Elephas maximus indicus: one gene and its partners. The protein of the gene in region 2 interacts with the protein of the main gene of each other region in a biochemical or structural test. Links are inferred from orthologs where the notes say so. Each region holds a gene or a part of one and is shown on either strand. Other genes may lie near its edges. The genes, in order: SLC16A7, SNTB1, GUCY1A2 and DGKZ.

Evidence for each region.
Region 1: the proteins of SNTB1 (region 2) and SLC16A7 interact in a test that uses a peptide from one of them, tested with the Homo sapiens proteins (2 studies listed by IntAct, with this or other methods). The link is inferred for Elephas maximus indicus from reciprocal best matches to the Homo sapiens genes SNTB1 and SLC16A7.
Region 3: the proteins of SNTB1 (region 2) and GUCY1A2 interact in a test that uses a peptide from one of them, tested with the Homo sapiens proteins (2 studies listed by IntAct, with this or other methods). The link is inferred for Elephas maximus indicus from reciprocal best matches to the Homo sapiens genes SNTB1 and GUCY1A2.
Region 4: the proteins of SNTB1 (region 2) and DGKZ form a complex in vitro, tested with the Homo sapiens proteins (2 studies listed by BioGRID and IntAct, with this or other methods). The link is inferred for Elephas maximus indicus from reciprocal best matches to the Homo sapiens genes SNTB1 and DGKZ.

What each region holds. Positions count from the first base shown.
Region 1 is NC_064822.1:119,685,482-119,692,900, forward strand, and holds the start of SLC16A7 (monocarboxylate transporter 2), read left to right. Parts: upstream 1-4,400; 5' UTR 4,401-4,543; intron 4,544-7,419. UniProt on the Homo sapiens protein: Proton-coupled monocarboxylate symporter. Catalyzes the rapid transport across the plasma membrane of monocarboxylates such as L-lactate, pyruvate and ketone bodies, acetoacetate, beta-hydroxybutyrate and acetate.
Region 2 is NC_064833.1:21,924,156-21,931,794, forward strand, and holds the start of SNTB1 (beta-1-syntrophin), read left to right. Parts: upstream 1-4,633; 5' UTR 4,634-4,798; intron 4,799-4,915; 5' UTR 4,916-4,971; intron 4,972-5,374; exon of another isoform or gene 5,375-5,499; 5' UTR 5,500-5,720; coding exon 5,721-6,294; intron 6,295-7,639. UniProt on the Homo sapiens protein: Adapter protein that binds to and probably organizes the subcellular localization of a variety of membrane proteins. May link various receptors to the actin cytoskeleton and the dystrophin glycoprotein complex.
Region 3 is NC_064825.1:12,795,942-12,802,936, reverse strand, and holds the start of GUCY1A2 (guanylate cyclase soluble subunit alpha-2), read right to left. Parts: upstream 3,009-6,995; 5' UTR 2,945-3,008; coding exon 2,654-2,944; intron 1-2,653. UniProt on the Homo sapiens protein: Has guanylyl cyclase on binding to the beta-1 subunit. Isoform 2 acts as a negative regulator of guanylyl cyclase activity as it forms non-functional heterodimers with the beta subunits.
Region 4 is NC_064825.1:101,845,806-101,852,638, reverse strand, and holds the start of DGKZ (diacylglycerol kinase zeta), read right to left. Parts: upstream 3,010-6,833; 5' UTR 2,215-3,009; coding exon 2,161-2,214; intron 1-2,160. UniProt on the Homo sapiens protein: Diacylglycerol kinase that converts diacylglycerol/DAG into phosphatidic acid/phosphatidate/PA and regulates the respective levels of these two bioactive lipids.

The DNA of each region.
Region 1 (7,419 bases), on a different chromosome or scaffold from region 2:
TTTAGTCACCATCGACTCAATCAACAAAATTCGTTGAAAATTAAATACTTATAAGTCACTGTTTAAAGGATCTCTGTCTGAAAAGTTTCTAGTTTATGATGAGAATTCTTAATCTAAGTTTTTAATCTTATGTTTCAGAATAATTAGCATATTCAGAAGAAGGCATATATAAGACATTCGTACTTATGGCCCGTAAAGTTACTTCACGGGTAGTATTAAATAAAATGTAAAATTAGGAAGACATGAGTGGACAACAGTTTAAATGCAGATCCCATTAAGAGATTTTCAGAGGCCCCAAACTAATTTATTTTGGTAAAACACCGCTCTATACTATTTTACTGAAAGGCACGCCATACAGCAATGTTCAACACAGTTGCAGCCCATTTCCCATGCTTTGTAAAATCGACCAGATTTGCATTTCCTGTAATTTTATAAGAGGCTTCCATAGAAATTCCAAAGTAGCCTCTATGGATGTGCTCAGTACTTCTGTAATAATAACCTAGAAGCAGTAGAAAGACTTCTTCCATACTTTGTACCTTCTATCAAGCCAGGCCACAGCAATCATATTCGCAGCTGCTAGCCAGCTGCAATCTTGGTCACAGTATGCTGCTGCTGGATGGCAGGTGCTCGTTTGTTTTCACTCAGGCCGCAGGGAATATTGGGACATTTGATCTTTGTCCTTGGTTAAAACCAATCTTTTGTGTGTATTCTACACACACACACACACACACACACACACTTTGCTCTCACAGAGTCTTGCCATGAAAAGGTTGTTATATGAATTTTGGGTGGTGGGAATGTATTTTTAGTTTTGACTTAAGAACACAGAGCAGTCTCCTAAGCTCGATATTTAAATGGGTCTTTATGCTTTATAAATCTTATTTATAAGCATACTTTTATGCCTTAGGATTTGTGATTTTACTAAGTAACATCTTATTGGTCAGAATAGGCTAGGCTATATTCTGGTGCAGTTCCACTCTGCATACATGGGGTCGCCAAGAGTGGGAGTCGACGGCGACTAACATATTCTGGTGATAAATAATGCCTGAAATCTCAGTGGTTTAAATCTATGATGGTTTCGCACTCACACAATGTCCAGTGCAAGTCTACTGTCTATCTTTAGAATTGTAGAGGGCAGATCATGGATATCATGAGCACCAACAGTCTCTGTCACGTACCTGTTGCCTAAGGTCACACGGTCATCTCTTTCCTCCATTCAGCAAGAATTACTGATGACCTTCTATCTACAAGAATTTGTGTTCGGTACTGGAGGATATAGACATGAGTAAAATGTCATCTCTATCCTCAAACAGCCAAGTGGTTGGGGAGACAGTTAAATAAAACTTATTATAATACAACCATAACTTGAGGCAGAAAGAAAATATGCCCCCCAAAAGCATAAACCATGTTCTATGGGAAGGAGCACAGAGTAAAATGGAATTACTCCTAATTGAGGGAATCCTTGAAAAGCTGCAGAGATGTTGACATTATTTGCCGGGCTTTAAAAAGGGTGGGGAAAAGCTTAGACAAGTTTGATATGGAGGAGAAGGAGGAGAGTAAGAAAAGACAGAGAAATGTGAGAAGACATAGCGTAGCTAAAACACAAAGAAGGGACAGAGAATCTAGAATAAGAGCCCGTGGTATAAAGTGACAGATGAGTCTATAACCAAAACAGTCAAAGACATTTGGGTTTTATTAGTTTATATATTATATACGTGTTTACTAGCTTACTTGTGGAATGTGAGTTGCCAGAATATTGAATATGTTACTATTCTTTGTTTCCCTCATTGTTAATTCATCTTATGAATAGCAATCAAGGCAAAACCAAGCATTCTACCAAAGCATTTCAAATTCTGATCATAGGGTTTGCTTTTTCCCCTAACTGAATTTTTGTTTTTTCAATTCTCAAACAATATTAAGGCTATAAGTCACAGGATAAAGTGATTGGATTTATTCCCACCTACTTCGCCTTTCAGATTCCTTTCTACTCCAACCAAATATTTACAAAGCATGACTTACCGTAGCAACAAGGCGATTGAAAAATAAGTCCCGAAATACTAACTCTGGGCCAGCAGGCAAATTGGATCCAGATTTTTAATTGTCGGAAAAAGAAGACTTAAAAAGAAAACTTGCTAAGGCTATGATACTGTGATATGGGTACTGCTGTTTGGGAGTGGAGCAAGAGGTTAACTGGGTCCAAAACTATGGAGCTATAAAAAACTGAACAGAAAAGAAAAAGCAAAGAGAAGGAAAGGGAGAAAGGGTCAAAATTCAGAAAATAGATGGTTTTTCTTCTTCCCCCTCTTCTTCAAAAGAAATAAACAAAGTGAACGGGCAGGAAATTAGTGAATAGTAAATGTTCAAGAACATGATCTTGAAACCTACGTCTTTTTGTTGTTTGTTTTGAAAGTTTAAGGGGTGTGGCTTGACGTTCTTTTTTGTCATGGAAATTCAGGGTTTCCATTCCGGCACTATCAAACGCCTATTATGTCATATATAAACTCTATTTACTCCTTTTTTTTTAGCATAAGAAAAATTAAAGTCCTTTCTAGAATCTTCTGCCTTAGCTCCTTAGTTTCCAAATTACCCCTCTCTCTGTAAAACTCTCTTCCAAACTATTTGAAAGTATTAATGGCCACCATTTATTCATCTTGTATTATGTGCTGGACACTTCACATATATCATCTCACTTAAATCATAACAGCAACAAAAAGCTGATATTATTTCTATTTTGTAACTAGAGAAACTGAAATTCAAGATTTGTCCGAGCCCACAAATGATCTGTGGCAGAAGATCTTGTAACAATTTGGTCAAGTGACTTCTTTGATGTCAATTTTATAAATTGTGAATAATCACAGTATGCATTTAATGAGTATTATTATTAATTTATTTTTTTTATTAGATAATCCACATAAGTGCTTAGAAAGTGATTAAAAAAAAAAAGGGAAAACAAAACAAAACCAATTGCCATGGAGTTGATTCGGACTTATGGTGACGCCATGTGTGTCAGTAGTAGAATTGTGTTGCACAAGTTTTCAGAGGCTGATTTTTCTGAAGTAGATAGCCAGGTCCTTCTTATGAGGCATCTCTGGGTGGACTCAAACTGCCAAGTGCTTAACCATTTCCTCCACTCAGGAGCCCTGATAATGATAAGCACTTAATAAATCAGTGTAATAATTATTGCTACCATTTTGATTCTGAGTCCCTTAGGTTTCAAAGTTCAGGTTATTTTCGCTCAATTGCCTTGGCTTCACATAAAAGATTTAAGTTTTAGAAAAAACCCTACAAACTTCGAGTGAGTTATATTAGTATCTAGGATTAACATACCATTTTACCTTTTTCATTTTTTAGGAGGATGAATGGGTGGGGGAAGGAAAATTGGCAGAAAAACTGCAATAGTTCTGGAATCCAAGCCCACATTTATTCTTAAGAAGAGTTCCTTTTTCTACAAATAACAATTCAGCCTTAAAAACAGTCATAAGGGTCCAACCTTTTAGAGTTACCCAAATGTTCGTTTCCAGCCCTTCCTCTTTTCCAACTTCCCCAGGAAACATACAGGCACGGGAGAAAAAAAAATTTATATATATACACACACATACACACACACACATATATGTATAAAGGGGAAAGAAACCAAACCAATGACTGCGGAATTACTATTATCCCTAGCACTATTGATTGTCAAATAGCTAGCTCTATTTTGAGGAATTAAATATTTGGGATCCTAAAAATTAATTATTTACAAATGGCCTCCCTCCACTTCTTTGCTATTTTTAAGCTTTTATGGTTTCCTATACTCTTCTGATCTTGCGGTACATTTTCTTTTTCTCTTGAATGAATTGGTTGGTGAGCCTAATCCCCTACTTCTCCTTACTTAAAAAACAAAACAAAAACCCTCAATTAAAATACGTCCCAACACTTTCCCTCCAAGCTCACAATGAGGATCTTTTCGCCGCCAAACACACTTCCAGGCTTTTCTGCAATTGCAAGCTTTCGTCTCCTACAGGTGGCACGTCTCCCTAGGGTATCTAAAACGGAGCTACCTCACCGCTGGCTCCGACGTTAGGCTCGAGATAAAGCGTGTCACGAGCTATGAGGAACAGGAGATCTCTCTACCTGTCTCTGGCTTTCTCTCTTGGTCACAACTAAAATCCGAAGTGGAGCGCCCCGAGCCATAAAGTGTCTGTAGCGGTGACAGCCACTTGGAGCATGCTCAGTCCACCCTGAGTCACTGAGGGGCGGCTTCCTCCCCCGACGGTTGGTGGGGCTCCTGCAAAGCCAGTAGCGTTCTCCCCCAACCCCCATCCATTCCCCCTGGCGCGCGCTCCACGGCACCCACAAGGGCGTTCGTCAGCCGCGCCTCCCCTCCCCGCCCCCTCCTCTTCCTCCTCCTCCTCCTCCAGCTACGGCCGGCGAGGAGACGTCAAGGGACATAAATAAATAAATAATTCCATTCACCCGGTGACAGCGAGGCGAACCGGCTGCGGCTGGGCTGGGGGACCCGAGAGCTGCAGCGCCCATCCTATGCCAGAGACCGAGTAAAGTAAGTACACCGGGAAGGAAGGGAGGAGGAGGCAGGAGGCGCCCGCGCAGAGGAAGGCGAGCGTGGGACTGCGACCGGAGCCGCCCGGGAAGCCTCGCGCGTGTGTAAAAATAATGGCCAGCCTGCGACAAACGCGCCAACGCCAAGTTTGCCAGCGAGCCCTTATATAGACAAAAAGCCCGAAGCTGCCGCCGGAGGAGAGCTAGCGACAGCAGCGCCGACAGCGACGTGGGAGCTGCGGGGGCGTAGCCGGGCGCGGGCGCTCCCTGGTCTCGGCGGTGTGCCCTTGGGGGGTCCCGGGCGGAGAGGAGTCCCGCGCGCCTGCGTGTTTCTGACCAGGAGATGTCCCCCTCTCTGTGCGTGGCCGGAGACTGCCGGCGCGGTGCGCCCCCCCATCCTTGGCCCGTGAGACTGGAGGCTGTTTCCCGTTCTGCGTGCCCCCAGCGCGCGCTTCACCAGCATCCCGCCCCGGCCCACGTGCAACCCGGGATAGCGTCCTGGCAGCAGAAGCTTGGGACGTGGGTGGTTAGAGGTGTAAGGGTTGTCTTCTCTTCAGCTGACCTCAGCTGTTGGGGCGGCTCGGATAGGCTGGGAGGAGAGAAGCTATCAGGGAGGCATCTTTCTTCCTTTTCGGATCCCGGAAGGCAAGGAGGGGGCGGAGGCGGAGGCGGATGGAAAGGTGTGTGGGGGCCAGGAGGGCGCCGGGACAGACGGGGCACGCTGCCATAGAAGCAGCTAAAGAGGGCCTACGTCTGCAGGGCCCGTGCCGGTCTTCCCCGGCGCAGCGCAGCGCAGCGCAGGGGGCATCAGGCCCGGCCAGGTGGCGCGATAGGCTGGCGAGGGCGCTCACGTGTGAACTGCCTCTCAGCAGATGCTGCGGCGTAACTGCGCGCTCCGATTCCTTCTCTTTGCTATTTCCGCGAAAAGGATTGCGGACTGCCTTGGCAAGGGCGGTGGAAGCCAAGGCCACTTTCCTGGTAGGGCTGGGAAGGAAATTTTGTAGTTCTACTCCAGGGAAATTAACAGTAAACATACACACACCCAGCACAGGAGAGGGAACGAGGAGCGGTTTCTCTGCAAGTGTTTTATTGACTACCCTTCCTGGAGAAGTAGAACTGGGCTTGTTACTTGAGGGCGCGTTGGTGGCACTGGGAAAACTAATATTTCAAGTCATCTCCCCTTCCTGGGCCCCGTATTTTTTTTTTTTTTTTTCCCCTTCCTGGGCCCCGTAGGAGACTCAGCGGGTAAATGATGAGGCAATGAGAAAAAGATTGAGCCGGAGAAAATCGTGAGCATTAGTTCCCCTTTCCTGGCACTCGACGCTTTATGGTTAATCCCAAAGTGAGCTCAGAAGGTCGCAAACTTAGCTGCTGCGTTAGATTCAATGTGCTGTGTCATTGAAACCACAAGTACTAAGTGTGCATTTGGGAAGTGTGGCTGAGAAATCAGAACTGGGTGGCAGTTCCAGAGGGCAGATGAGGGTTGAACAAGGTGACCCTTGCTGAAATAATCCTAGCTCAGCTTTCTGCTTGTGAGCACATTACATTAAAACCAATCTAAGTGAGGGGGCATCTGAGTAATGTCAGTGAAAGGGAAGATATTTTTTACCTTAAGCAACTCAGTGTATTGTGTAACAACTCATCAAGTTGGAAACATTTCTTTGCAAATATTCACAGCCAGAGTTTGCAGTTCTGTACTGTTTTTTTTCCACAAGAGGAAATTGAAGTGATCTGAAATTTTAACACCCTTTTCTGTGTTGAAATTGGTGCATCTCTCTGTAAATGCTCAGTTTATTTCTAGACATGCATTTACTTCCTTTTTTTAAAAAAATAATATCTGCCTTATATTTTTGGCCTCCAGCTCTCCTGAAGGGAAGGAGGGTATAGTGATCTAAGGAAATGTCCTGTGTCCAGAATATATTCCTGGATCAAGGATCTGAAAGGGGAAGAAGTCTCCTAAATTTGCTTTTAATTCTGCATTCATACACCAAACATTTTTTGAGGAGTGGAAAAAGATGATTACCTTTAGAGTTGTCAGATCTAGACTTCAGACTTGGTTCTGCACATTTGTATGATTGAGTAATTCTCACAATGTCAGCTTCAGTTTTCATATTCATAAATGGGATTGATGGTACTTACCCTGAAGTGGTACTGTGAGGGATAAAATAATGTGTGTGGAAAACACCTGGAGTACAGACTAGCTATCTCTGAGCTCTTGAAATCATTCCAGACACTGCACTGAGGTTTTAAAAAGAATAAGGTTGGAATTCTGCTGTCTGGAAATTCACATCTAGTCATTCAGGTTAACCTTCCTTATACCTCATTTGCTTTTCAGTCAGTTTCCTTCTCTTCTCCATGGAAGAGGCATATATCCCAAATAATTTGAAAGAAGTTTAGCAGTTGTAAGAAATGCTTGTAGGATCCGCTAAAAAGCAGATTTGGGAAGGGTTGCACCTTGCCCCAGAAATCTGTGTAATCAGCCCCATATTTTGCCCATTGAAAGTGACCCTATATAACAGATAATGAAGGATTTTCTTTGTGCAGTGGAGGGAGGAACTCCTCCTCTGAAGATCATCTTTGCCAAGGAACGGAGAAAAGAAACTGAGCTGCAACTTCTTCTCAACTTTAGACAGACTAATCCACTCACTTCTAGAAGCCTGAGAGTATTAAAAAACAAACAAACAAAAACAAACCTGTTGCTGTTGAGTCGATTCCAACTCATAGCGACCCTGTAGGACAGAGTAGAACTGCCCCATAGAGTTTCCAGGGAGCGCCTGGTGGAGTCAAACTGCCAGCCTTTTTGGTTAGCAGCTGTAGCTCTTAACTGCTATGCCCCCAGGGTTTCCAAGAGTATATAGCGACTATAATAACTCCATC
Region 2 (7,639 bases):
TTGACGTGTTTTTAAAATAGGGTCTAACTTACCAACATATCGTTAAAAAAAGGATGAAACACATAGCCCCTTAGGAATAATGATTTAATATATACCATGAGATATAAAAAGACTAGCATATGGTTTGTTTCAATAACAGGCTGTTATAGACTAGATGTGAAAGAAATGGAATTCAAAAAGAGAAGGCAGAGGATAAACATCTAACTACTTGGGGCCACCATGAGTTGGAATCGACCCAATGGCAACCGTCAACAACAACAACTTGACTATTCTGCCTTGGCTTAGCCCTGCTCCCGCAAAAGTCCCCACTACAAAATTCTAAACACAGTGAGCCATGAAATAAATCCTCTCACCTGAATGACTGGCTGGTAGATAGTCTAGGCAATAGTCTTTCTAGTTTACCAAGGGCCCACCTGGGGAGTGGCAATGCAGAGTGCTTCCCAACCAATTGATGATGGACCTGTTGGCTGTCTGGGGCACATCAGAGAAGAAAACATCTGCTCAGCCTTCCATTCATGCATTGTTCCTCAGCCTTAGAACTTCACCTCTAAAATAAGAATCATTACCTCAGTATTATGATTTAGAATCTGGAGGGTGGTGATTTCCATATGCCTTTCACACTCAGCACACTCTCTGTGAACGTATCTGTCTTCCTGTCTTAATCGTGTTTGCATTCCTGGGTGCACCTGCTTCCAGCACCTACCTTAGTCCTTTACGAGAGTAACCTGTTGCCGTCAAGTCGGTTCCAACTCATAGCAACCCTATGGGACAGAGTAGAGCTGCCGCACAGACTGCGGCATCTTTCCCCTGAGGAGCAGCTCGTGGGTTTAAACTGCCAAGTTTTTAATTAGCAGCTGAGCGATTAACCACTGTGCCACCAGGGCTCCTGGTAAAGGTTTAGTCAACAGGTATTGACACAGGCAGGCCTTGCCTTAGGAGTTTTGCTTTCCAAGCATCCCTCCTGTTTTTTTCTCATGCTGTTCTCTAATTTACACCCAGCTATCCAAAAAAAAAAAAAAAGTACTCCATTTCCTCTTCTGCACTATTCACCTCGTATCCACTCTTCATACCATAGATTTGAAAAATCTCCCCTAAAGATGTTCGACCAACTCTTCATTCAAAAGTGCCAAAAGTACAATGATCATATTTTGCAAATCTAAGTACTGGAGGACATGTTCAAACCAGTAGAAGTTTACTTAAGGGCTAAGAGAAAGCAATATTTGAAGTCGGGACTGTCCCTGAAAATCCAGTGTGGTTGCTGAAGCTTGAAGGGAACAAGCAGATGGCCTGTGTGGTTATCCTACAAGGCGTTATCTATGTGATCTGGTCCAGCCCATCTCCTGATCTCCTCTCCTGCCTTCATCCTCCTCCCATGGGCTGTCCTAGCCAGTCTGACCTCCTTTTGGTCCTTTAAACCAGACAAGGGTGGTTCTGTCTCAGCTGCTTTGCATTGGGTCTTCCTTCTCCCTGGAAGCCTCTTCTCTGGATTTCCACCAGACTTCCTTCAGCTTGTGATTCATGTCTCAGTCCAATGGCACTTTCTCATAAAGGCTTTCCTGACAGCCATAGCCCCCAGGAGCCCTTGCCCCCAGTCACTCTCGATCCTGTTACTCTGTTTTAGTTTCTTCATGGCATTTACTTCTACACGGAAGTATTTTATGTATGCATCTACAGTCTGTTCCACTTCCACTCTACCACCCACCGCAACGTGAGCTTCGGGGAGCAGGTTGTTGCCCATTTGTCTGCTGCCAAATCCCAGCACCTAAAACAGTACCTGGGACATGTAGGTGCACAACAGGACTGTGGAATAAATGGGTGTAGACTGCTCCTTCTGCCACATGCTGCTGTTCTCTCATGCACCCTTGGCCCCCGTGAAGCTGAGGATTGTGTGACCTGCTCCTCAAGTCTAAGTCCACCCAAAACCTGTGAGAAAATGTCTGTCCCACAGAAAAAGGTATAGCAGGATCCTGGTTCTGGCTGGATGGAAAGGGAAGTCAAAAGCTTAGGACAGAAGAAGGACACAGAATAGGAAACAGGCCTAAGCAAAAACAAACCTGGTTTAAAAAAGGGGGACAAAGGTGATTCCAGGTATATTTTTTGGAATAGTGAAGTTGGAGTGGTAGTCAGGGTAACCCAGACCTAGGCTTAGCTTTGCCACAAACATACCATGTGGCCTTGAGTTGGTATTGCCCTCTCTCATCATATATGCACACCTTATAAAATGAGGGAGTTGAGGTCTCTTAAGTTCTTTACAGTGACCATTTTTTAAAAGGGAAGAGCATTGTTAGCTGCTGTTGAATCACCCTGACTCATGGTGACCCCTTGAACAATGGAATAAAACACTGCCCGGTCCTGCATCATCCCATTGATTGTTTGGGAATCGGACTATTGTGGACCATGAGGTTTTCATTGGCTGATTTTTTGGAAGTAGATCACCAAGCCTTTCTTCCTAGTCTGTCTCAGTTGAGAAACTCTGCTGACACCTGTTCAGCATCATAGCAACTTGCAAGCCTTCACTAACAGACAGGTGGTGGCTGTGCGTGAGGGGCGTGGGCTGGGAATTAAACCCAGGTCTCCTGCATGGATGGTGAGGATTCTACCACTGAACCACTAAGGCCTCACAAGAGAGTATAATCTGTCCTAAGTGTAAGTATCATGGGGCCACAGTGAAGCAGCCCCCCAAGAATTAAGAAATGAGGTAAATACTGTTTCCCTTTGAGAGTCGGTGTTAATAATCAGGGTCCAGATACGCAGAGTGGTCTGCAGGACAAGACATGGCCTCTAAGGCCAGAAGGACAGCAGTCGCCAGTATCAATGCATCAGCGTGTCTAAAAAAAAAAAAAGTGTCAATAACGTGTCCTCTAATATTGGAAAGAAGAGGTCATGGAAACTGCTGGCTCTACTCTTCCACATACTGCCTGGAGAAGGGGCTTTCACCCGTGGTGCTTTGTCCCCAGTGGAAAGGCTGGCCTTGTGTACAGATGGACATAAAGGCTGTAGCTGACATGTTCTGAGTATTTTCAAGAAACAGCGTAGGACAATGGTGAAGAGTCCAGACTCTGGAGTCAGACTGACTGGCTTTAAACCTTGGCTTGCACTTGCTACACGACAGGGACAAGTTGTTAAACCTCTCCATATCTTCACTGGCAAAATGGGAGTGATGAAGGTAATAAGTACCTCCTGGGGTTGCTGGGAGGATTAAGTAAGTTCATATAACTATACGTATTAAGTTAATATAACTACACATATTAAGTTAATATAACTATAATACTAAGTAAGTTAAAAAAAAAAAAAAAAAGTAAGTTAGTACTTATTAACTTATTTAATCCTCCCTGGAACTCCAGGAGGTACTTACTATCTTCAGCACCTTGAACAATGGCAAAGCCATCTCTGGCTAAGATGCATGTCTCAGGCCTAATTTATATTAAATAACAGACTCCCCTCATTCTGGTGCTACTTTCAATAAGCAACCTACCTCTTCCCATGCAGGTTTCCTTCCACAGGGGAAAAAAATGTGTTAATCATAGAGATGCTGAGGATTTCCCAACCCAGAGCCTGTAATTTCTCATGACAAATCAATAAATTATCTCTGCTTGTGCCTAGGCCTCCCACATTGCTTGTCCACAGGGAGCAGATGCAGACACGACGTTGACGGCAGCTTTCTGGTCCAGGGTCGGCTTTCTTTGGATTTCTAAATAAACACACTGGCATTCTAGTGCCTACTCCCATCTTCCCTTGCTTTGGTTAGAAGACAAGCGCTCAGGCTTTAATTTTCCCTGAACAGTGATGTGTATGAGTCCGAAGCTTCTACGGCAAACCCTAGCTGACTTTCCCCGGACAGTGGTACTGCCTACATCAGCTCCCTGCTGATCCTGCACACGGAGGGCTAAAGGGTCCTTGTGGCTGCTGTCCCTGCTGTAGGGGGCCTTTGCACGAAAGAATAAAGAGCCTTGGAAAACCAGCTGGTTAAAAAACTATAGAAAAGGTGGGAGCTCCAAGCAGAAGTAGCCATCCAAAGGCTCCTCCTTGTCAGTCTGCAGTGCTTCTCCCAGCTCAAAAAAAAAAAAGGTTCATTTTCTTCTGTGACCCTGCCTGCAACTCCATGCTTTAGAGATTCGTCTCAGTTTTAAGCATCCTTGATTAAAAGAGTAACTCTTGGAAGGGTCCGAGAACTTCCAATGATGCTGCTACACGTCAATGTGAACCTGTTCTATGAGGCTTCTTCCTCCTGACACCTTGCTTCACCGGGTTTAACCCTGAGGAACTCACCGAATTGCGAGTTATGTTTTGTTATTGCAGAGAGGGGAGAGAAATGTAGGAAGGGGAGATAAATAAGAAGTGTGGAACACTTTGACAGGCCCACGAGGCTTGCTTTGGGTGGGTGGAGAACCAGAGAGGTTCAAGGTCCTGTGGCCCCCCTGCCAGGAGGACATTGAGAGGTTGGCTATAACATGGGTTATGTTGGCTTTTCTGGATTGGCCTGGAAAGGTAACCAATAATTATAATATTGTTACTCTAGAAAGACAATGGTTTAGCTCCAAGCAAGTAACCTGTAAAGGAACTTTTGAGATACAACCCACTGCAACTGAGTTCTTAAACTGGGAGACTTCCTGTACTGGATCTTGGGAAGAAAGTGAAAGCTCCAGAAGGCATTTGGTGTGGCCCTGGGGGGAAAACACAGATCAGAAGCGCAGACCATTTAATGTGTTAGAGATGGACGAGCATTTCTCCTTGGAGTCTGGGGCAGGCAGTGACCTGCTGGAGCCCAGGCCAGCAGAGACTCCTCTCCAGAGGCCGGGTAAGAAAGATATCCCACATCTAAGGAGAGGAGGCGTAGGACGCTCGATTCTACTGACGTTTCACTCTGGGTTCTTGGAATAGCCTTCTCTCCTTACATTTTTTTCCTTACTCTCAGGGAGCCCAGGGCCTCGGTTTGCCTTCCTCCTGACTCCTTGAGGAGAGACGAGCCAGGTAAGAACTTAGCAGAGGAGGCAAGCCTCGGTTTGAGGAAGTCAGAGAGAGGAGACCGGTTCAGGTACACTTGGGGGAAGGAAAAAAAAACAAAAAACAAAACTAGGGGACAATTCCACATTGGTGTGAAAGGGAAGCGGGATCAGGAGGATGGAGTGAAAGTGCTCAGGCAAGACACACAGATCCGGCAAAGCTGCGAGGTGGGGGCCTGAGGAGAAGGGAGAGTTGAGGACGGAGGGCTGGGACCGGGCAGAGAGAAGTGGGACTGGGAAGGCGCGCGGGAAGCGGTCCTCGCCGTCACGCGGTCCGAAGGGGAGGCGGACCGAGTCGGAGCCGGCGGGCGACCGCTGAGCTGCGGCGCTGGAACAGGTGAGCGGCTGCCTGGCAGTCCCCGCCCTTCCGCGAGCGCGCCTCCTCCTGCCACTCTCCCCGCGCGCGCTTCACTGTGCCGCGGCGCCCCTGGGTTTGGGGTTTTGCAATTGAGAGCGGTTTTTTTCCCCCCGTCTCTTTCTCGCCTTCTTCGTTTAGAGGCTCCACCCCGCCCAGGATCAGGCGAGGGGAGTGAGCCCGGCTCCAGCTGCCAACTCGCGGAGCGCGTCTCCGAGCTCCCGGAGCGGAGTCCCGCGTCCCGCCTCCTGACCGCGGGCGCGCCCTCTGCGCTCCCCCAGGCCCAGAGTCCAGCCCCCGCCCCACCCTTCCCCACTTTTCCCCGCTTTGCAATCACATGGCATTTTAAGAATGCCGGAAAGATGGCGGTAGCGGCGGCGGCGGCGGCGGCGGTGACGACCGGGCCGGCGGGCGCGGGAAGCGGCCGGGCGCAGCGGAGCGGACTGCTGGAAGTTTTGGTGCGGGATCGCTGGCACAAAGTTCTGGTGAACTTGAGTGAGGACGCCCTGGTTCTGAGCTGCGAGGAGGGCGCGGCGGCATACAACGGCCCCGGGACCGCCACCAATGGCTCGTTCTGCAGGGGCGCCGGGCCCCCGGGCGCGGGCGGCGCGCAACCCCCGGACTCGCCAGCGGGGGTCCGCACTGCCTTCACCGACCTGCCCGAGCAGGTGCCCGAGGCTATATCGAACCAGAAGCGCGGCGTGAAGGTGCTGAAGCAAGAGTTGGGCGGACTGGGCATCAGCATCAAGGGGGGCAAGGAGAATAAGATGCCCATCCTCATCAGCAAGATCTTCAAGGGGCTGGCGGCGGACCAGACACAAGCTCTGTACGTGGGCGACGCCATCCTGTCGGTAAACGGAGCTGACCTGCGGGACGCCACCCACGACGAGGCGGTGCAGGCGCTGAAGCGCGCGGGCAAAGAGGTGTTGCTGGAAGGTAAGGGGTTAACACGGCGTGGGATGCGCCAGGCGCGCCCACACCCACCGGCACACTCACACCACCCACAGGCTCTCACATCCCGGGAGCATGGGGAGGACAGGTGGCCAGGAGTTTCGACAACTTTTACCCACCTGGGGGTAACTTCTCCAGCGCCTAGAGTGGTGACAGGCTTTGACCCAGTGGGTGTGTGTGAAAAGGCAAGGCTAGCAGGGTGTACTGAGCCCCGACTGCGTGTCACGCACGGGCTGAGTGCTTAGTGAACGCTGTCTCATTCTACCTGGGAATAATCCGAGTGTAGTGGAGAGGCTGGGAACTGGAACGGGAAGCGAAGGGTAGACTCAGACACATTCACCCATCCACGTAGCAAAGTGGGTCCAACTTTTCCGCTTTAACGAAAATTTCCCTCTTAGAAGCCTGGGTAACCCAACTGAAAGAGGTTGAATCATAAAGAGGCCAGAGAGAGGTGGCAACGTTAGAATGCTAAAATTCCAATCACTCTTCTCCCTGTCTCTCCTGCAAATTGGACACTGGGGTTATGCCTAGGGAGTTGTGCCAAGGGCTGAGGAATACGGCGCAGTTTTATGCACCAGTTCACTTGTCCTGCAGGGTGCCGGGCCGGTCAGTCTGGATTCCAGGTTGCTCTGGCTGGAGAAGTGGTTTTTTTTTCTGCCTGCATTTTCCCCGGCTTGTTTTGGAGTGGTGTGGAAACAACATTGCATTTCTAAATAGCTTCCCCGACTTGTTAGGCGCCTTAGAAACTTCTGTCATGAGATCAGAGGCTCCCAGTCCCCTAAGGATTGAATATGAATAGGATAGGAATAACAGTTTAATGTTTGTGGATATGTGGAAGAGAAGGGCAATAGGGTAGTAAACCCATAATTCATTTTCCTTCCCTTTGCAGATACATTGCTCATTTGGAATCTGGCTCTCTGCTCCTCGGCTCTTTGTACATACCTCCTCTGTCAGCACTAACCTTGTATTCTTTTAGTTCCTTACCCAGCCACCCCCTAATTTGAGATTGAGTTGTCTGGGGGTCTTTTATCTGTTCTGGGCCTCCCTTGAGCTTACGTGCTCACCAGCATGCGTGCTGAGTGAGTGAATAAATGAATGCCTAGCCACGGAAATAGAACATGTCAGCAGCGACTTTGTAAACTGGTGGTTGATTGAAGTCCTGAACCAAGGACATAAATCAATTTCCTGCTCACCTCGTGGCAGTGCTGGTGTGTGAAACTGAGAAAGTTCAAAGTAGGGAAACCAACTTTGCTACGAGTGACAGCCAGTGCAACTCCCTGGTACATGGTGGCCCACCTCCAGGCCTAGAATACAGAGCTTTTTTGTTTGC
Region 3 (6,995 bases), on a different chromosome or scaffold from region 2:
GGGATAGGAACACAGAGAAAAGAGTTCATTGCTTTGAAATCTAACTCTCTGTTTTCTTTGTGACACGAAGTCTACTGGTGACACCAGTGGCCAATGAGACTCTATTCAGACATGCACTACAATGTGGAAAATGTTTATACTATGTTCCCACCTGTAGGTTCCCAGCATTTCACCTGACAGACTCTTTTCAAAATAGAAATAAATTGGGGCATGTAAAGTACATGGGAGCTGTTGCATGTGTTTGATCATTGCAATTATTTTGAAATTTTTTACTCTGGAAATTATTAACTGATATATGTTTTTGATCCACCAAAAAGTCCAAGTCATTTGACTATTATTTATAAAGGTATCACACAGAGACCATTTCCTCCCTCTTAGTCTTCAGTAAAGGAGCCTGTTGGCGCAATGGTTAAGCGCTGGGCAGCTAATCAAAAGGTTGGAGATTGCAGCCGCTCCGCAGTAGAGAGATTTAACAGTCTGTTCCCATAAAGATTACAGCCTTGGAAATCCTATGGGGCAGTTCTACTCTGTCCTATAGTGTCGCTATGAGTTGGAATCAACTCAACCGCCATGGGGTTTTTTTTTTTTTTTTTTGGTATTCAGCAATAAATATCTGAGTTAGGCTTATTTGCTCTCATCCTCATCTAAGTTGTTGAAATTAGTCATAAGTTAAATTGGTATGGCCAGAGGCACCACTGTTACTTTTTGCAAATTTGTAAATTCTGATTCTTAGGCAAAAAGAAAACTTCAGTATTATTTTAAAATTCAGAAAAACCTAATAATCATCTTTAGTAAAATCACTGTATCAAATTTGAACCAAATATACTGAAGGAGGAGCCCTGGTGGTGTAGTGGTTAAGAGTTCAGCTGCCAACCAAAAGGTCGGCAGTTCAAATCCACCAGCTGTTCCTTGGAAACCCTATAGGCAGTTCTACTCTGTCCTATCAGGTCGCTATAAGTCAGAATGGACTCAACAGCACCTAACGACAGCAACATACTAAAGGATGAGTATCCCAAACTGCACAAATGCTGCTTTAGGTACAGACACAAAACTACAGCTGCACAAAGGGACTGGACTCCTTTTATAAAGGCTTATGTTCAATAATATGCAACACTAAATAGCTCCTAAGATTATGCTTCCTGGGAAATATTTGCAGTGAAGAAAAGCAAATAGTAGTCAACCCCTCCTGAGCTTTGTTTCCTAGGTTATCAATAAGGAAGGTAAATTAAAGGGAAAAACACACAAGAGGAAGATGACCCAAAGAGTAATTTCTCTAGTCAAGAAAATGCCCTTCTCCATTAGTGCAAGGGCCTAAACATTTTAGGACTACCTGGCACTAGGCAGAATCCTTCAGGATCCCACTCCTCTTCCATTCCTCCTACCATCTGCAAGAGTAGTTTTAAAAGGAAAACACAAAAGCAGTCAAACAAGATCAATGTTCAGGTTCATACCGGTAACTTTGAGGAAGTAAAAGCCTCAGGGTAGGCAAGTGAGAGTGCTGTCAGGAGTTAAAAGTCCTTGTAGCCAACCAAGGTCAAGGTGAGGATAAGTGGAGGATGGAAGTCTGACACTGAACAGAGAAAAGGAAGAGTGCAGGCAGGCAACATTTCCTTCTCCTTCAATTCCGTCTACACTAGAGTGGATTCTTGAAAACAGAGCTCACTCAGACAGGGAAAGACCAAAACAAGAGGTCTGGGATCCTGCAAACGGTAAAAGTCAAGGGTTGCTGAAAATGTCTGAGCAGGAATGAGGCAATATTGTTCTGGAAGGATGCCTAGAACCAGAGGGAGTCTGGTGTTCACCTGGAATTGCCGATACAGACATCCCTTAATGAGCACAAGTTTCAAGAGGTCCAGGAAGGCATGTATTCATTCAACAAATATTTGTGAAAGGAAGTCATGAAAGAAGGAGAGAAGGGAGCATGAAGGATGAAGTATGGATGCAAGAAATACCAGAGAGACTTAGAAAACCAGGCACCTAGTTTACACAGAGAAGGTGTAGCCAGTAAATGCCCAGTGAGTAGGACAAAAAGCTATGGGGTGGAGAGAAAAAGAGAGATTAGAGGTGTCTTCACGAGAAGGCAACTTAGAAAAGTATCTGACAGAGTTCCTGAAGATCTGAGAAAAGGGATGCAACGCTGAATGCATATAGCCTGTGGGATTCAAAGATGCCAGACAAGGTCATGCTAAGACCAAGAGAGTGTGGGAAAAAAGACAGGAAGGGTTTCCCGGAAGGAGCTGGAGCTCCTTCGGGATGCTGGAAAAGGGATGCGAGACATGTAAATGGAAACTGCGGAACAGAGACTGGGAAAGTTTGGGAGAAAGAAAACAGGTGGGTGTAAAGGTGCGGCAGGGGCTGAATGGGGTGACAGCGAGGAAGGACAGCTTAAAACCGGAGGTGGTCAGGCAGGCCCTCGGATCAGGAGACCCCAAAGAGTGCAGTCCTACTCCTTTCCCGTCCTCTAACCCCCCACCCCACCAGAGCCCAGGGGTTCGGGTCCCGCCCGGGGCCGCCAGTAACCGTAGGCCGGGCGGGGCGAAGCCGGGCCGCCCCCCAGCGGTGGGCTCTGCGCACGCCCCGGCTCGCCCTGCGCCAACTTTGCCCGGCCTGTCCTCTCCCCGGGAGCGCGGGCCCTCCTTCCGCCCCTGCTCACCGAGGGCGCCGTCAGGCGGCTGATGCTCTCGCCCAGCGAGTCTAGGTTGACCCGCCTCCGGCGCTGCGCCCTCCTGGCCCCGGCCGTGGCGGCGGCGGCGGCGGCGGCGGAGGCGGCCGGGGCCGGGGCGGCGGCGGCGGCGGCACGAGGCTCCGGCGGCCCGGGCGGGCTCCGGCTGCCGTTCCAGCAGAGCCTAGACAGGGGGCAGTCCCCCTCCTCCTCCGGGCTGGTCTCCAGGTAGTCGGAGCCCAGCGAGCTGAAGGACTCGGACGAAATCTTCCTCCGAGACATGCTGCGGGCGGCGCTGCGGCGGCCGAGGCGGCGGCGGCGGCGGGGACGCGGGCGGCGGCGGTAGCGGGACCGGCGAGCGGCGGCGTTAAGCGCGTCGGGGCCACGGGGCGCTGCGGTCGCGCTCGGTTGGGCGGGCGTCCCCAGGGCCGCGGAGCCCCCCGAGCCGACTGCTCATGGCGGGAACGGGGGGGAGCCGCCGCACCTTGGGGCCCGGGCGCGGTGGCCGCGCCGGGCTGGGCTGGGGGCCGCCGCCGCCTCTGCTGCTGCTCGCGCGGCGCCGCCTCAGCGCCCGCCTCGGCGCATCACCGTGCGCCGCGCTCCCGCTCGGGGAGGCTTCGCGTGAGACCGCAAGCGGCGGGGCGGGGAGGCTGCGGCCGGCGCGGACGGCGAAGCCGAGGCTTTTGCTGCCTGCGCGCCTATCTCGCCCCCCTTCCCTCTCTCTACCCGCCCCTCTCCTCCCGCCTCCCTCCTTCTCTCTTTATCCCCCCCCCCATGCTCTCCCTCCGCCGGTATCACGTGTCGCCATCATACTCATTGGGAGTCTCTGCCTCGCCTGTCGCCACGTTTCAGGAGCTATGAGGACACTTCGTTGCCGTCCTCTGCGCGCCCTCCTGCTCCCACCATCCCCTAGCTCTGAGGAAGAGAACACCGTGGCTCCGACCCGACCGAGGGGTCCAGCCCCAAACACCCTATACCCCAGGCCGGGAGAGGCAACCGGGGTGCAGACGGGCCCCGGCGGGCACTGGAGGGGAGAGGGGCGCGGGGCCGGTAGCGGGGACCTCCCTCTGGAGACACCTCGGAGACGCGTGAGGACACGAAGTGGGGGATTAGGGTCCATGTTTGTCCTTTTCCCGCCTTCCTCCGAGTTTAATTGGAAAGTTCCGATGCGGAGGGGAAAAACTGAGCGGTCCAGCCCGCCGATTCCACAGGACACGCTCCAGTGGAAGGGAAGGGCAGGGGCAACATATTGGCGCCCATCCGGCTGGAGCAGCTCTTGGGAACACGACTCTTTTGCGTTCCCTGTCTCGAGCGAGGCCTCGTGGGCGCGCAGGGAGCTCAGGGCGGGAGACAGTGAGTGAGGGAAGGGTCTGCTCCGAAGGAGCCCTGTTGCTGAGCCTCAGCCTGGCGGGCGCGCTGGGCGCCTGGCTCCCGCCGGTGGCTGGTGGGCTCCGCACTAGTGCTGGACAGCTCCCCTTGCCACCTGCAGCCGCGTTCGCTGACGTCTCGGGCAGAGGCGCTCGCGCAGTTTCGCTACAGGCTCCACTACCTAGGACCGGGCCCGGGGGGAGGCCAGGGAGTGATGCCCGGTCCCTAGTCTGCTGGGCTCTTGGCGCCAAATATGCGATTCGTTTGCACTGGGCTACAAATGCTGCTCAAAATGCAAGAGTGGAGAGAGGGGAAAGGCTTTTCAAAGCTCAGCAACAGACACACCACAGCGCGAGCACACCTCTGGCCGCCAGTTTGCCGCGGAGCTGCTTTATTCCAAAGCTTGCTTCTTTGCAAACCAGCAGTCGCTCCCAGCGTCTGGCTCCACTGCGCTTGCTTTAGCCCCAGAAGAGCCTTGGTCGTTCTGCCCTTAGGGTAAGGAGTAGAAAGAAGGGGCCAAATAAGAGTGTCTCAAAAGAGGAGTCTAGGCTGCGCTTCCCTCTGTGGCAAAAAAGATGAGCGTCCTCCATCTTTCAGCGTCCCCCGCCTTTCCCTGCCGCCCGGAAGAAAAGTTCAGTGGCTCTGACTTCAGCTTCCCAGACACACAGAGGCCAATGCGCTTTCTAAAATGCTGGTCCTTCTAGGTGAAGACAGATGGGTTTGCGGGTTGCATTTATAAAAAAGAGAAAAAGCAAAACAAAAAAAAATGATGTGCATTCTTTCTATTTTGCTTTTAACTCTAAATGTTCCCATTGTTTATGAGGACCCAGATAAATGAGAATGTTTCAAGTTTTTTTTTTTTTCATATACTTTGAAAAAGTCCACTCAGCCTTATTCAGAGACGTATCTTATTCCCAGATCTTAGATGGAAGTAAAAGATGTTAAAAGTGTGTACTATCGAACACATTCTTCCCTTCAAAAAAAAAAAAAAATTCTTCAGCCTGTTGATTAAGTTGCTAACTGCATAGCTAGTTTCTCAGCAGAGGAAATTCAGAACAGGAGGGGTTTTTTTTTAACATTTTAATTGTTCTTAGGTGAAAATTTAATTTAGACATAAATTGTTCTGACATTGATTGCAGTCCCTGCAATGTGTTAGCACTCACCCCCCTTCCACCCCAGTTCCTCATCTCCATTCCTCTGGTTTTCCTGCCACTTCCTGCCTTCCCAGCCTTACTTTGGAGCAGGTGTTGCCCTTTTGGTCACCTGTACTTGATTGTTCCTTGCAGGCGTTATTGTTTGTTTTATAGACTTGTGTAATATTTGGTTAAAAGGTGGAATCCATGAGTGGCTTCAGTTCTGAATTAGAAGGGTGTCTAGGGGCCATAGTCTTGGGGGGTTCCTGTCAGACCAGTAAGTTTGGTCTTTTTTTGTAAATTTGAATTTTGTTCTACATTTTTCTCCTGGTCTGTCCATGACCCTCTATTGTGATCCTGGTCAGAGCTGTCAGTGGTGGTAGCTGGGCACCATATAGTGCTTCTGGTATGAGGCTAGTGGAGGCTGTCGTTTATGTGCTCCATTAGTCCTTTGGACTAATTGCTTCCTGGCTTTCTTCATTCACCTTTGCTCTGGTCAAGATGAGACCAATAGTTGTATCTTAGATGGCTGCTTGTAAGCTTTTAAGACCTCAGACACTACTCACCAAAGCAGGAGGTAGAACATTCTTTTCATGAACTGTGCTATGCCAACTGACCTAGGTGTCCCCAAAGACCAGGTCCCCTAGCAGGAGGGCTCTCTTTTAAAATAAATGTGTGGCGTATCTACTTGAGATTTCTCCATTACTTCATTCTATTTGTTTCCATGGCAATTATGCACAAATTACACTTTTTTTAAGTAAAGACTAGGCATCAAGCATCAATCCTGCTAAAAACTTTGACTGGCTTTTTTTTTTTTTCTGAATTAGAATGGATGGTTTCTTTGAAAATTATATTATTCCAGCTTTGGGGAAACTGTTTAATATTCTTGTTGTGCAGTATCAATGACAGGATAAAAATCGGAGTTCCTAGTTCTCTTATTTAGTTATGATAATTTAATTGCCAAGTTCTCTAGAATCATAGAATCTTAGAGCTATTATTAAGGATATTAAATAGCATATCCCCTTCACATTCTTTCAACAAACTACTGTTGTGCATATACACACATACAAAATTCTAATTATGGTAATGGCAAGTAACTTTTTCATTGACCTTGGAACAGGAACTTTTTCCTAATCATTCTAACTCTTGTCTCAAAGTCAAATTACTGAGTGCAAGGCAATGAGTGTCATTTGTTCCTAAAATTTACAAGAGGCTCAAGCAGTCTTCCTGTTTATACTGAACATTTATTGCCAGAAAGAACTCTGAACTTAGGAGGAATTTTTTCCTTTGTGTAAACCATTTGAATCAAAGACTTTAGAGAATCTAGCCAGATGAAGTGGTCTTACAATTTTCTGTATGAATTACCCTGCCTTTGATCATGATTTTCCCACTGCTTTTGCAAACTATAAACAGAGGCCTAGATGTAGACAGTATATCATCTGCATTGCTTTTAAGGGCTTCCTTTGTATTCCTGTTCAGTGGCAGAGTTCAAAAGCTCTCAATATGAGGAATGCTGTCTACTATACTTGAATTAACATTTTTAAAAGGCAGCATAACCTAGTCTCCATCAAAAAAAAAAAAAAAAAGTTCTAGAGCTGGTAAAAGGAGTCCAAACACTTTAGGCAAAGAGTAGTCCATTGAAAATGAATAGCCTGCGTTCTGATTTTAGGAAACCAAGCTCACACAAACTCATGCCCACAAATCTGGCCCTGTTAGATATATGGTGTTACAATGAAGTCCTTAACATACAGTCTTCTCTTGGAAAAGGAAAATGCAAGAATGTACTTGGTTTGTTGGTACAGTTGGTGAGGACACCCGAGGACTCACTTCAG
Region 4 (6,833 bases), on a different chromosome or scaffold from region 2:
TTCTCCTCTCACTCACTCACTGTCTTGATTTCCTACTGAGGCTGTGGGTCTGAGCCATGCACAGTGCAGGGAGACCGAGGGAGAGGCGGACAGGGCCGAGGTGTCTGCATCCTTTCACTAGTGAGCAGTGGAGGCAGCCATGCCTGGGGAAGCTGTGTTGGATACTGCCTGGCTCTTGTCCCTGCCTGTTATGCTTCCCAGACCCTGCAGATGATAGGGACAAGGGCAGAGCAGTCTGAGCTCCAGGGCAGGAGAGCTGGAGGGCAGAGAACATGGCTCCCTCCTAAAATCCATATCATCATGGCTGGCATTTGCTGAGTCTGGCACTGTGTTAAGTCTGAGGAACAGAGAGGTAATCTACCCAAAGTCCACAGGGGTGGAGGCAATGTAGAACTTAAGTCCATCTGAGGGCAAAGCCTGCCCCCTGCACCCCAGAGATGGGACAGAGAGTAGGGTCTCTCCTCTTGGACCATGAGGAATGGAGTAGGGATGGGAATCGCAGTTAGAAAAATAACCACGCATTTACTGAACTCCTACTCTGTGAGAGGCTCTGGGCTGGGCACTTTATCATCTCACTGGAGCCCTACCATGACCCCGTAAGGCAGGTAGAACCAAGAGCTCTGTCACAGAGATGAGGACACTGAGGCCTGAAGCGGGCAATAGCATGCCTAAGGTCACAGGGCCAGCTGGGGGCAGAGCCAGGACCTGAGCCAGGTCTGTCTGGCTTGGTTCTGCTCCCTGGGCTGGCCAGGGTCAGGCCTGCCCAGGGGTCAGCTCTGCATCCAGGGAAGAGGAACCGGAAGGCCTGCCTGCCTACTTCTGCCAGGACACTGGCTGGCCAGCGCTCCTCCAGGGTGTCAGCTTTCTCCGCCTGTCTGGTCAGGCTGCCCTGTGACGGCTGCCCAGCCTGGAGATTAGTCACCCGGACACACCGCCTGATGCTAGTGTCACCCAGAAAACAAAAGGCCACAGTCAGTGTGGGGGAGGTGCCGTCGGTGCTCTATGGGTGGTGGGGAGGGCTGGGCCTCCCTGCTGTTCCAGACCCACACTGGCAAGGTGGCCAGGAGGAAGAGGGTTCCTGCACATACTCCCTCATGACACAGGTGGTAGCTTACAGATGCTGTCACAGTGTGCCACCCTGCATGCTGCCAGGGGGCCCAAGCCCACATCTGTCCAGGGCCTCCTTGGCTGCCCAAGGTGCAGTCACTCCCAGTGGACAGGGAGGCAGGTCAGGCCAGTGTTGTGTGACCATGTGGAAAGGTGTCCCCTCAGGGGCCTCAGTTTCCTTGTTTGTCTGGGGAGGCTGCTAGACTAGCTGATATGACAGTGTACGACCAGATCTCTGGCCAGGCCCTCAAGCCTCTGTGCTCTCAGATGTCCCCTCCCCCAGGCCTCATGCTTCCTGTTCCTCTGGTCTCCACAGAAACCTCTGTCCTCTGGTCAGTAATTGCCTGACTCCTGACTTCCTATCTCTACTGAAGCTTCTCCTGGGTCTGGTCACAGCCAGCCTGGCCTCAGGCCTCTCCTGGCCCTTCCCCTACCCAGGCTGGAGCTTTTTCCCCGAGCGCAGTTCCGAGCATAGCTTCTCCCCACCTCATCCTCTCTGTCACCTTCAACATACCACACAGTATGTGTAAAAGTTACTGGGGAGGCCCCACAGGGCTCCGACACCAATGGCCCAGCAAAATGGCTGCTCTTCAGTCTGCTGGTGGGGAGCCTGGGGAAGCCTGAGTGGATAGGATGGACAGGGTCTCAGGGGGCCCCATCAATGTCCAGCTGTTGTTGGGGGTCTGGAGAGGGCAGGGCCTGTGGGAGGACAAAGGACAGTGGTGCCTGGCCAAGCACTCCTGAAGAAGAATAGCAAGTGTGGCTGCAGGCAGCCGAGAGGGCATGAGTACCCTAGCTTTGTCAGCTACTAGCCAGGAAGCACAGGACCCCTCGCCCCCTGGTCCAGAGTGCCCTCACAAGCTATACTAGTTTCAAGTGCAAAAGCCCAAGGTCTTTGGAATCCTGCATCTGCCATTTACCATTGTGTTATCACGGGCAGATGAGCGAACCTTCCTAAATCTCAGTTTTCTCATCTGCAAAATGGGGATCATACCACCTAGTTTAGAGGGGTGGCATAAGGGGGGTTCTGATGAGATGATGGATGTAAGGTACCTGGCAGAGCAGGGGCAGGGCAGGGCCTATCACCTGCCACAGGCACCAGCACATGCGGATCACGCCATCCCCTGGAGTTTGTCTCTGCCCACTGCAGGGGTGGGAAACCAAGAAAGGGAAGCAGGAGCACCCAGGGTGGACACCACCCACCACATGAGGAACAGAGCCTGCAGCCAGTGCCACCTGGGTGTCTGTCTGCTCATGTGTGAGGAATGCCCACCTCCCCTGATACCAGGCCTAGGCCATGGATTCTTCCTGAGGAGCTGGCACAGGACAACCTGAGGGATTCCACAGAGTGCCCTCTCCCTGCTGTGGGCAGGGTCCCACTGCCTCTATGCTCACTGAATGGTGGGCGGTGGCCCCTTCCGGCAGCCCCAAAGGAAGGGCCTGGAGCTGCCTCCCCAGGAGGATGCTGGCCAGAAGCCATCTCGGGGGTCTCTGTTCTCACAGCCCCAGGGTCCTGCCGGACGGGAGGAGGCAGGTACAGCTGCAGGAGAAGCCTGCAGATCCCAGGCCAACCTGGGGGCCGCTGAGGCAGGGTCTCGGCTTCCCCAAGGCATCTACCCACTAAAGAGATGCTGCTAAGAACAGGACAGAGATGGGCAATGCGGGCGGTTGGGCCATGGCCACAGGGTCAGGCTAGGCAGGGGGTAGAGGAGGTGGCCAGGCCAGTTAATGTTTACCTCCCTGGCTTGGGAGCAGGAGCCTGACCTGCCCCTTGTCCTTTCCCTTTCCTTTTCCATCAGCTTCAGAAGCCTGGCACGGCAAGACCCTCACCTAAGGATGGTGGTTCCTGGGCCTACCCTGACCCACCCCTCCCCAGGCCCACCCCAGCAGATACAGGAGGGAGGAAGCAGAAGGGAAGGGAGGGAGGGGGAGCCCCTTTTGACCTGATCTGGAAGGCAGGGCGGCACGCAGGAGGTGGGCAAGCGGGTGGGGCTGTGGTCCCCAGGGTGGGCAAGCCCGGCTCTGCTCCCAATTGTGCTGCCGGCCTCTGGCTGAGCAAGTCCTAGTTTGGAGAGCAGCAAGCTGAGGTGGCTGCGCCTCTGCCCCCTCCCCCAGCCTGAGACAGCCGTTATGAAAATAACCCAGCTGGTAACCAACTGCACTTCCTCTCCCAGCGGCGGCTCCAGGCCCTGCAGCGGGTAGACAGCGGGTGGGCGGGCACAAGCAGCTCTGATTGTTCCTAAAGTCCCCAGAGCTGGGCTAAGTGACAGCGCAACAGCCTCCCCTCCACAAAAGGTCCAGGGCAGGAGACGCGGAGGCCAGGTGTGCAGCCCAGTGCCCAGCCACCTGCCGCCCTCTCATGTCCTCTGGACAGATTTCCTAGAGTCTCAGGAAAGCATCTGAGACAGCTAAGCACACCGGCTCCAGACAACCACAAAAATAAATACCGGTGGGGTGTTTTCACAACTCCAAAGCACTTTTTCACAACACAAGCATTATCAGACGGGAGGCTCATCATTCCCTGTGGGGGCAGTGTTACCTTTCCGGTGGAACAGATGAGGCACCTGACCTGGGGAGGCCTGTGACTGCCCAAGCTCAGAGGTGGCTGAGCTGGGACCCTGGAGCCTGGGTTGTCCGGCCCTGACAAGGGGGCCATTCCAAGCTGCCCCGACTCGTGCCACATGTGTATCACCTGCCTGGAATGCTACTCTCTGACTCACACTCCTGCCATGGCTCCCTAGGGTCCAGAGTGGCAGTTCCCAAACTTCCGGATCTTTGGATTTAAAAAAAAAAAAAACCACTTACCATCGAGTCAGTTCCAACTCATGGCGACCCTTTATGCTCTTGAAAATTTTTGAAGACCCTAAGGAGATTTTGTTTCTGTGGGTTATAGCTACTAATTTTACCATATGAGAAATTAAAACTGAGAACTGTTTAAGGTATTTATTAACTCATTTAAAAACAGTAATAAACCCATTACAGGTGAACATAACATACTTTTATGAAAAATAAACTATGTTTCCTAAAAAAAAAAAAAGATTAGTAAGAACAGTGGCATGGTTTCACGTTTCTGTAAATCTGTTTAACGTTTGGCTGAACAGAAGACATCTGGATTAGCGGAGCTGCTTCTGCATTCAACCTGCTGAGATGCTGTTTTGGTTGGAGTGTGAGAAGAAAAATTCTGCCTCACAGTGACATGGAGTCAGAAAATGGAAAAGCAGTTTAATAGCCTTTTCAGATAATTATGGATGCTCTTTTTTACAACTACACCAAAATGTGACAAATGGTAGTTTCTGAAAGTTGAGCTGCAATGTGGACTCTGAAACCCTATCAAGGAACTTTTCATGGCTCATTCTCGCACCCTGAATTCTGCAACATCAAGCACTGGTCAGTGGAAAATACGGTTTACTTAGAGTTCGGCAGATCTGCCAATGTTGGCACGTTTCATTCTATGACACAAAAAATCATACCTACTAGCACCACTACTGATCTCATCAGAAGAGTCTTTAAGCCCTGGGAAGCTGTCAGGCTCTAGAAAGTGAATGCAAGGTTTCTAAAATTCAGATTCATGCTCAAAGGCTCAAATTTTATCATTGGTACTGACAGTTTTGGAAGTGACAAGCTCACCTCATTCATTACCGAGAAAACGTCTGCCGAATACCCAGGTCTGAATAGTTTGTCTATCAGGTGTTCTTGCAAGTGAAGATGGTGTTCCTTTAAAAATAAAAAATTTTAAAAAAGGAGCTAGAACAGCTTGTAACACAAACAACCGCACAGGGCTTTTACTTAAGGCAGCCGTCACGGATAGTCTGCAGCAGGAGGCCTTTATGGGGACATTCACATGTCTTCGTACAGACTACTACAAACACAGTATTCTGCCATCACGACTTTCTACAGTTAATTCTTACTGCTTTTCTTCTTTCAAGTGCAAGTGCATGGAGAGAAGAATACAGTGACTGCCAACACGCTGGGGCCACTGCCTTGCTTTGTGTTAGGGTTCCAGCGGTTTCACCCACCATTATTTTTACACCATCAGTACAAAAACGTTAACACAGGCAAATAACATCTCATGGAGAAAGCTGTGGCAGTCTGCTTCCGTAAAGATTTACAGCCTCGGAAACCCTATGGGGCAGTTCTTCTCTGTCCTATAGGGCTACTATGAGTCAGAATCAATTGGACAGCAATGGGTTTTTGGGTTTATTGTTATGAAAACTGTTTTTAATTTTTTTAGTAATTTTTACTGAGCTTTAAGTGACCATTTACAAATCAAGACAATCTGTCACGTATAAGCTTATATACACCTTACTCCATACTCCCACTTACTCTCCCCCTAATGAGTCAGCCCTTCCAGTCTCTCCTTTCGTGACAATTTTGCCAGTTTCTAACCCTCTCTCCCCTCCCATCTCCCCTCCAGACAGGAGATGCCAACACAGTCTCAAGTGTCCACCTGATATAAGTAGCTCACTTCTCATCAGCATCTCTCTCCAACTCACTGTCCAGTCCCTTCCATGTCTGATGAGTTGTCTTCGGGAATGGTTCCTGTCCGGGGCCAACAGAAGGTTTGGGGACCATGACCGCCGGGATTCCTCTAGTCTCAGTCAGACCATTAAGTCTGGTCTTTTTATGAGAATTTGGGGTCTGCATCTCACTGCTCTCCTGCTCCCTCAGGGGTTCTCTATTGTGCTCCCTGTCAGGGCAGTCATCGGTTGTGGCCGGGCACCATCTAGTTCTTCTGGTCTCAGGATGATATAAGTGAAAACTGTTTTAACCTCACCAATCCTCTGAAAGTATCTAGGGCACTTCCAGGACCACAGGTTCACTGTGAATTCTAAGCCCTTCAGCCCGGCAAATGGTTTCCGCAGTTGTGGCACTAGTTTAGCCTATGATGCCTTGCCATAAACCTTTGGCTCTGACCAAGCCAATCAGTTCGCTGTCCTCCAGTCTGGCTGTGCGGAGCTCATGGCTTGTGCCCCTGCACATGGCTACCTTCTGCCCAGAACGCTGGCTGGGACTCCCTTCCCACCTCGTGTCAAAATCCCACTTGCTCACAACTGTCCCGGCCAAGAAGGCATCGCACCCACTGATAACCCCACACTACCCATTTGGCTCCTCTGCTGCTGGACCCTTAGACACTCTGATTCTTTCAAATCCACACTTCTCCTGGGGGGTGTGGGGCCAGGCTTAGTGCATCTGGTCCACCCAGCACAGTGCCTGACATTGAGTCCAGTCTTTACCACTGCAGAAGCAGCACAAAAGGAATGCACAGGGAATTTGGAGGGGCAGGGGCCGAAGCCGTCAAGGAAGACAAGGGCTTCCTATCTCAAGTACTGCACCCAAGGGCTGACCATAGGAGCAGGCTGGCCCAGGCCACTTCTTGTTGTTGGGCTCGAGGAGATCGCACCAGCTATCTTCCTCTCCTCTCCAGGGGCCCCATGAGGGACAGCTGGAGGCCCTTTTTGGGGCTAGGTGCCACTGCCCACTCCATGCTCTCCATGGCCTTCCTTATGACACCTAACAGCAGGATATGGTGACACGAAGTCACAGTGTGTGGGTGGTGGGCAAGTAGGGGACGAGGGGTTGCCTCAGAGGCTTGGGGGCTGAGCCAGGGACCCTAACTCTGAGCTCCTTGATGGAACACCCCCAGTCTCTTTCTTCATGTCCTGAGGCCCCTGGTAGGCCCTAGAGAAAGGTTTGTAGAATGAACGACTGCCTCCTTCCTTCAACGC